2 linked regions of the Bombyx mori genome follow. Each later gene encodes a partner of the first gene's protein in a complex. Links are inferred from orthologs where the notes say so. Each region holds a gene or a part of one and is shown in the gene's direction. Other genes may lie near its edges. The genes, in order: FRSB and FRSA.

What was found.
Region 2: the proteins of FRSB (region 1) and FRSA are in contact, whole or in part, in a crystal structure (PDB 3L4G), measured with the Homo sapiens proteins. The link is inferred for Bombyx mori from reciprocal best matches to the Homo sapiens genes FARSB and FARSA. Residues at the interface, in NP_005678.3 of Homo sapiens: Glu26, Phe29, Gly32, Leu33, Pro68, Ala69, Asn70, Ile150, Arg152, Asp259, Thr261, Lys262, Arg305, Lys316, Lys317, Val318, Gly319, Ile359, His360, Cys362, Asp363, Glu366, Ala369, Ile370, Tyr374, Asn375, Ile377, Gln378, Met379, Thr380; in NP_004452.1 of Homo sapiens: Ser221, Gly222, His223, Leu224, His225, Leu227, Leu228, Arg231, Ser232, Arg235, Leu239, Gly242, Phe243, Thr244, Glu245, Pro247, Asp249, Asn250, Phe251, Ile252, Glu253, Ser254, Phe263, Gln266, Gln267, Phe277, Phe278, Leu279, Arg280, Asp281.

The regions. Positions count from the first base shown.
Region 1 is NC_085112.1:3,834,102-3,838,888, reverse strand, and holds the start of FRSB (phenylalanyl-tRNA synthetase beta subunit), read left to right. Parts: upstream 1-1,680; 5' UTR 1,681-1,754; coding exon 1,755-1,812; intron 1,813-1,885; coding exon 1,886-1,941; intron 1,942-2,122; coding exon 2,123-2,277; intron 2,278-3,441; coding exon 3,442-3,598; intron 3,599-4,787.
Region 2 is NC_085112.1:15,644,997-15,648,963, reverse strand, and holds the start of FRSA (phenylalanyl-tRNA synthetase alpha subunit), read left to right. Parts: upstream 1-1,167; 5' UTR 1,168-1,410; coding exon 1,411-1,683; intron 1,684-2,029; coding exon 2,030-2,384; intron 2,385-3,016; coding exon 3,017-3,294; intron 3,295-3,967.

The DNA.
Region 1 (4,787 bases):
CCAGATGAGTTCTGTTTTATTTGAGACTACTAAGTCATTGAGTGACAGGTTGGTGAGGTTTTAATTTAAGCAGCTCCGACATGCCATGTGCACCAGCCCCAACACATTGGTGAAAGTAAGGGGATTGAGTGTTGATACTATTTCTGTAATTAAAAAATACATATACAACACTAGATGAGAGGTAGGGAGTGGCATGGCTGTATCTCTTGCATTACTAAAGTTAATGAGTGATGGTAACCACTCAGCACATCAGGTGTACTGCCCGTTTGTTTATAGAGGTAATAAAAAAATCTAAAGATTTTTTTTTCCTGCGTGGAGTTTTAATTTGTTGTCGAACTGGAAAGAAATTACACGTTCAGCTCCCCGAATATTTTTCCCTTATACCTTTTTCATATGTGTGTTTTTATGTATTACGTAGGTGTTGTACTGGAGAAGTAATTTCTATTGTTAATCTAATACATAAAACATTTTTCATTTTTTGCTGTCAAATTTTGTGGGAAAATATAAAAAAGGGGAAAATCAACGAAACCATCTGGCAGTAAAAATCATTAGTAGGGATGGAAATTTTTGCAACACAAAACGATCTTTGTATCAATTCGAATCAATGGTTTAATAATAATAGATTCACAAAAAAATTCGCAAAAATCAGTTTTTAGTGCTATTTCTGTGTTTTCTACCCAGCAAAACAAAAAATAAACGCATTTTCATTAATCATAATTATACAATACATTTAATAAAAACTTTGTCTTGAGAACTGAAGTCATGTTTTATCCCGTTTGTGAATAATTAGATGAAAATTTGATCTTTTAAAGATTAAGTGTTAATTGTTTTGTAGTTGTATATGAGTTGGCTCACTAATTTTCATGGCCTAAATAAAAACTGACAAGTATTTAATTATATATACCAATATCCAATATGGACTTATCCAATAAAATGTTCATTCAACTCTCTATTCTAAAATACCAGTTCTTATGATTATATCAGTACCTCATGAATATAACATAACTTAAATAGAATTTTCTGATAAAATGCTTTTCATAATGATGCTTTTCTTTTTATTATCGAGTAACTTATTTTAAATCAATTTTGTCAGTAGATACTATCCAGCATCCCTGCCGTGAACTGTCACCCTTATTTTCTGTGATTTGTGGTGCTTTTTTGTATTAACTGACTATTTGGCGGGAATGCGAGGAATGAAGTTGTGTCATTTGTCTACTTAGTGTTTTTTCAGGTTTAGAGATGTAATAAAATAACGGTGGCTTATTAACTCTTTAATATCTGTGAAAGTGCACAAATGTGAAAAAATAAAAGAAAACACTAGACGTAACTTCTAGGGATCCTCCAAAAAGTCAACTGAAAAAGTCTCAGTAAATGACCACCATTTTCCTGAGATTATATTTCATCGCATATCATTTTATTTAATTTCATCCCAGTTGATTAATGTCTAAAGTTAATCTTCTTCATTTCATTTCATTTCACTCCATATTATTATTTTAAATTAACACAATAGGAATATTTATAAATTAAAATAAGATATGGTATAAAGGTCCTAGTTACCAGGTCAGAAAAACCCTTAAATAGAATTTGTATTATCTATGGTTTTAGAACAGACATGGCTGTATGGGCTTAGATTTCCTTGCCTTTCCTGATAAGGAAAATTGTACCAAAAAAAAAACCGATAGTTTTGGAAGAGCGCAGCACTGACATATTTCACATATGGTCTACTCACTCGTTTTTAAATAATTTTATCAAGAATGCCCACAATTTCTTTAAAGCGCGATGCGCTTTTCGCCGCACTCGGTTCTACATACAGTATGAGAATATTTTGTAAAAAAATTAGTTTAATTTTAATTCAAATTAAAATGCTTTTATCGAAACATTTCAGCTGATGAAGAATTTCAAGACCTATGTTTCAAATTTGGTTTAGAGCTTGATGAAGTTGTGAGTACCCATTTTAGGACCCACTAAATTAAAAAAAACGAAATAATGATCTGAAACCTAGTTTTATTGTAATAATTAAAATAATGATTTACCTTGAAAAATATATGTAAATGTATTATCTTGAATTCAGAGCTTGAAGAAAGGATTTGTGGCGATATTAATGTGTGTCTACCAATTTCAGACTACGGAGAAACAAATGTTAATTAAAGAACAAGGTGACCAAGCAGATGCTGAATTATCTGATGAGATCCTCTACAGAATAGACATCCCAGCCAATAGATATGACTTATTGTGCCTCGAAGGACTTGTTGATGGTCTATTAGTGTTCCAGGGGAAGTAAGTTAATGGATATTTTTTTCTATTTTATTTATTTATTGTGTATGGGTGAACAAGTCTACCTGGTGTACAGAAGTCACCAGAGCCCAGTTATTACATTGTTAATATTACCACCCAACTTATGACATAAATTTGAAATCATATAAAAGTGGTTGTAACCCGCAAAGCAGAATGCATGAATACTTTGTAACAAAAATAGGCAGGATAGTAATACCTACTTGTAATATCCTCTACCACCAATGAATGCTATTGCAGTTTTCTTTTTTTACTGCCCTTGTCGGTAGATGAGCATACGGCCCACCTGATGGTGAGTGGTTAACATCACTCATGGACATTAGCGTTGCCTACTGTCTAATACTCTCTACAAGCCTTGAAGAAGAGCTTGGTAAACACCGTGGAGGGGAACTCATTCCGAAGCTGGATGGTACGTTGCAAAAAATATCTCTGGAAACACTGTGGATGAACGCTGGCTCCACATAATATGGATGAACTCTACGCCGGTGGCGAGCAGTGCAATGGTATTGTTTGAAATGATGGTATCATCTCAATTCAATCCTTAATTCTTCAGAGCTCTCCCCATGAAACATACGGTACAAAATACAGATGGAACCAACGTCCCTCGACAGACCCCGAGGTTCCAAACAATCCGTGAGAATGGGATTATCAATAATCCGAATGGCTCTCTTCTTTATGTAGTCTAATGAAAGGATTCCATGACGTGGTAGCAGTACTCCATGCGAGGCCGAACCTGAGCTTTGTAAAGCAAAATTCTTTATCCAGGTGTGAAATACCGGTTTGCTCTGTTGAGATCTCCCAGAACTGTACTTGAATTTTGATACTAAGAAAAGCTGCTGCCCATTCTCTAGTGAAAACTTTTATTACCTCTTTTGCCCGCTACTGAGGACACCCTTCAAACTTCTCTTGAATAAGACTTGTTAAAGATTTCAAGAAAGACTGGAAGAAATACTGTACAATAATACTGTGACTGTTCATTCTAGAGCAGGATGTTAAGTGGTAAAAATAATGACTTAAAGTACACTCAACTAACTCAATGTTTCAAAGTAGATACACATTTTGCTTTAGCAGCATTGCTACTATGAACAATTGTAAGCAGCAGGTGCGACGGTAAAAGTAAATGATGAGATCATTATAAATAAATTTCAGGAAACCTCCACCTCAGTACAAAGTGAAAAAATATGAAGACTGTAACTCTTTACACCTAACGATGGCCACAGCACAAATAAGACCCTATGCTGTAGCAGCTGTACTTAGAGGCATTACTTTTACAAAGGAATCTTATGATAGTTTCATTGATCTACAGGTAATAAATTGATATATCAAGCATAAAAAGCATTTGAATTGATGTACTGATAGCAGTGTATTATTGCGAGCCTGCACAGGTATCAGTGGAGTAAGTATAAAAATAAGAATAGAATTCGAACAGCAGACAAGACTACAGACCAGCAGACAAGACTACAGACAATCTAAATGGTATGAAGTGAACACGATAAACACAACTACTGCAGTTTTTAAATTAACCTTAAATTTATTATATTTTATTACTTTGACAAAGACATAATTGTAAAAAAACCTTTCACAATGTGTAGGTCTATGAGGAATTGCCTATAGTAGAATTATTTTGTCTGTGCAGTTTGGGTCATAAAACATAGCCCGGCTAGGGTGGTGAGCATGTTGCGCAGGCGTCTATAAAAACAAATAAGTCATCGAAGGCTTAGGTACACGGCGACGGGCGGGGTGGTATACGAAGGGTGGTGAGACATTGCTATGTTATGAGTCATTTGTATTTACCTGCAAATTATAGTACATTATGTCGAAGAGAAATGTGTTTTTATGCATTCGTTCTCTGATTTTCTTTAGTGAGTTCTTTAGTTTGTTTTGTATCAAAATGGCAAAATTTATTCAAAATAATTATTTGCACGTGTTTTTTATCAACAATGTGTTAAAATTTCTCTGTGAAATAAGAATAGATCCCAAAAAGTTACAAAGTGTTAATTTCCGCCGTACTCGTTAACTTACTGCGGCGATATGTGCTGTAAGTGTTCGATTAGTGGTTTTTTCTTTCATTTTTATCACTAACCCACAAAATGACAAAACTAAATACACTATCGATAACGCTTATCAACAACCATAATGCGCATCATTATGCCCGTCCATAAGACTCGTGAGTAGAAGAGAGAGCGAAATACTCGCTTCACCGCTCGATCACCGATTTTTATGACCCAAACTGTACAGACAAAATAATTCTACTATAGCATTCTATACATGGTAGTCTTGAATCAGTTTTTTTTAAATAAATTAATTTTAATATATGTTTTTTATTATAACTGTAAGCTAGGCTGATGGTGCGGAGTTATTATTGTTGATGAAAGTCTGCAAACTCCATTTTATTCACTAACACTGTAATCAGATGCCTGCAGCTCTAACAGTAGGAGCAAGAGTAGGGACCTAGGTAACTGTACTTGTCAAACTCATCATAGAATTCGACTTGA
Region 2 (3,967 bases), about 12 Mb from region 1:
TAGAACAGTTTCCAGAAATTCTAACGTCATATTTACTAGAAGATCCTTCTCGTTCGCTTAACGTCAGGCAAATGATATACATGCTTGCGTGCGACGCTATTCAATACAATAAAAAAGTTCAAAAAATACCACGTGATGGCTCTTATAATATGAAAAATACATTGCAAAATTATAGTTTTCACGATTGTTTTTTCAAATTTAGTATATGACATAGATTAAGTACAATTTACAAGACAAATGGTATTAAATATTATAATGAGAAAAAATATCTCACATTTTAAAAATATATGCTCACACTAGTAAAAATTTATCAATGAATTTGTAATATGGAAGAATATTCCACAAACTGGAGAGGATTCTCGCTTAAAACCACTTACATTAAAAGTGTTCACCATGATTACAAGGAAACTTTCACGATTTTCGAAAAAAAACAAGCCACAAGCTGTATCAGTGCCATTTTAACTTCGTACTACAAACGTAAATAGACGCCATTTTTCTTTTAATCCATTCATTGCTCTTTTTCGGTGATGCCAACAATTAATCTGGCTTCCCACCAAATTCAATATGAAAACCATCAGAAATCTACGTACCTACCATTAAATTTTCCATTAAACAGAGTTCTTATTAATATAGAACAATATTTTTTTGTTAATAAGCTTTATTAATATATGATGTTCTATTAATCTAATCAATATTTCTTATATAATTTATTTTAATAAATTTCACCATAACTTTGTACGTTTATTTTGAACCAATTTAATTTTTGACGTTGATGGAAATTCTAAATTCTCGCAACATTTTCTAGTTAAGTTTAAGTCACATCGTTTAAATAATATGTATTTAGATATATTATTGTCATAAAATGTTTAAAATCCTGTAAAGTGGATTGATTTTAACCTTTTCGATAATTTTCAACAACGCCCAAGCTACTAAAAAATCCACTAACCACTAAAAGCCATTTTTGATAACTAAGACGGGGGTCCAAATTCCGAGATTTTATGGAAAATCCTCTAAGCTAGCAACACTGCTTTTTGCTTGTAAAATGTGCGAGAGGGACACCACCACTTAATAATCATTCTCTTTTCAGACCGTTTTTCCTTACATCTTTTGCTATTTAAAAATAAACTTTAAGCCATAGAGATAAAGTATATTTTTAGTTTTTATGTCAAACGAAGTAAGCACTCCAGTTAGAATAGTAACTCTATGGATAGCTAATACAAAATTTTAGTGAGAATGAAGAAGACTCGATGCTTTTTGTGATTTTGACGTTGTTTTGACGTTGTTTTGACGTTTCGTTACTCGTTGCTGCCATATAGGTTGCTGCTGATAGAAATGGAACAGTGAAAGCTGGAGCTCAGTTTTGAGATTTTATAACCTAAAAAGCTAAAATATTCGGGCGAAGAACTCAAAATGGAATTGAACGAAAGAATTTTAAAGTATCTAGAAAACAGCGACAAAGCTGACACTTTAAAATTATGTGAAGAATTCAACGAAGAACATCAAAAAATAGTTGGTGCTGTAAAAAGTTTGGAAGCTCTTGAAATGGTTATTTCGGAAGCTGTTAAGATTACAAAATGGGAGTTAACTGAAGAAGGAGAACTCGTTGCTAATAATGGTAGCCACGAAGCCGTATTATACAGAAGTATACCAGACAGTGGTGTACCGCAATCTGAAGCTATGAAGGTAAACGTTTTGAACTTGAACATTATCTTAGATTACATCTAGAATAATGAATAGAACACAAAAAAATAGGATTTTTCTTTAAACTTAAAAAAATATATAAATTGGTCATAACATAGATACAATGTAAACAAGTAATATGATATTATTAGATTATTAAGAAATTAAAATATTATGTATAATGTTATATTGATCCTTGTGCATTAATTATTTTTTGAAATATGAAATGCGTACAAATTTTTTTTTCTTCTCTTGTTTCTCTTAACAACTACATAAATAAAAATAAATAATAAAACTTGTAAAACGTGTAAAAGTAGTTGCTGAAGTTACCTGAAAGTTTACCTTCTAGATGGTACCAAATGCAAAGGTGGGATTCAGTAAAGCCATGTCATCTGGATGGATATACATAGATAAATCAAGTGGACCGCCCCTCGTCAAACGTAAAGTTGATTCAATTACAGACATTGTACAGGAGAACCTTAGTGAAATTAGAAAAGGTATAGATAATTTATCAGAAAATGTAAGAAATGACTATAAAAAAAGGAAACTTCTACAAGAGGTGACCATTAAAAGCTTCTTGCTGTCGAAGGGCCCCCAATTTGCGATAACAATAAAGAAATTGGAAACAGATTTAACAAGTGACATGTTGTTGAGTGGCTCGTGGAAGACTCTAGAATTCAAACCATATAATTTTGATGCTTTAGGTAAGTTTTTTCTAAGAACTTTTTCAGGTAAACAATAAGAATAAAAATGCAATTTGAGAAGTATCTAAGACCCAAGAAGTTCTCAATTACTGCATCGGTACTTGTACTTGTAAATGTTGACTATATTTTGTGTCATCTCATAAAGATGTAATTTTTTTAAATTATTAAAATTAATCAATCAGAAAAACATTGAAATCTATTTAGTCATAAGAAAGATGTAATTACTGTAATTTCATACTATCAAAGCATACACTACTTGTAATGTTAGTATCAATGTTAAAGCTTGTCTATCAATATGTTGACAACTTCCTTACTGGATGGAGCAGAATATTTCTTGTCACTCAGACTCTTTTTTTTGTCTCATGATCAGAATCACAACCCACTTGGAGATCCAGAACCTTAGTGGGTTACGTTACTATCAAATGGTGACTAAGTGCCTAAAAGCAAGCAAGCGATGAGAGTAGATAAAGAGGGCACTCTGTCCCAAAATTCAAATAATTGCTCCAAAATGTATTGAATTTAATTAATTGTTAAAATCTTAGTTAATACCACATTGCCTACAATCCAATTGTGAGTTGAAATCGTTCTGAGTAGTGATCCATAATAAATCATTAAATTATATAATTTCACAGGCCAACCACCAGAATGTGGTCACCTCCATCCCCTCTTGAAAGTAAGGTCGGAATTCCGTGAGATATTCTTGGAAATGGGTTTCACGGAGATGCCGACAAATAAATACGTTGAGAGTTCATTCTGGAACTTTGACGCACTGTTCCAACCTCAACAGCACCCAGCCAGGGATGCTCACGACACATTCTTCATGTCCTCGCCTGCTGCCACCACGGAGTTCCCCATGGAATACCTGGAGAGGGTGAAGAAGGTGCACAGTAAAGGTGGATATGGCTCCCAGGTTTGTTAATTACTGAATTTAATATTAGCAGTTGAATTTTTTTTTTTTTTTATTGCTTAGATGGGTATACGAGCTCACAGCCCACCTGGTGTTAAGTGGTTACTGGAGCCCATAGACATCCACAACGTAAATGCGCCACCCACCTTGAGATATAAGTTCTAAGGTCTCAGTATAGTTACAACGGCTGCCCCGCCCTTCAGACCGAAACGCATTACTGCTTCACGGCAGAAATAGGCAGGGCGGTGGTACCTACACGTGCGGACTCACAAGAGGTCCTACCACCAGTAATTACGCAAATTATAATTTTGCGGGTTTCATTTTTATTACACGATGCTATTCCTTCACTGTGGAAGTCAATCGTGAACATTTGTTGAGTACGTATTTCATTAGAAAAATTGGTACCCGCCTGAGATTCGAACATCGGTGTATCGCTCAACACGAATGCACCGGACGTCTTATCCGTTAGGCCACGACGACTTCCAAGAATCCAATGAAATTAAAATGCTTAGATATTAATGTCTATCATAATCTAGAATGGTCTTAGTAACCTCTGCACCTGCAGGCACTTGGTGTTAAGTAATTACCGGACTCACATACATCACCCCTTACGTGCTGCCTTACACATTTACACTCCAGGTTTTAATTATCAATTGTTTAGTAATTATATATATTT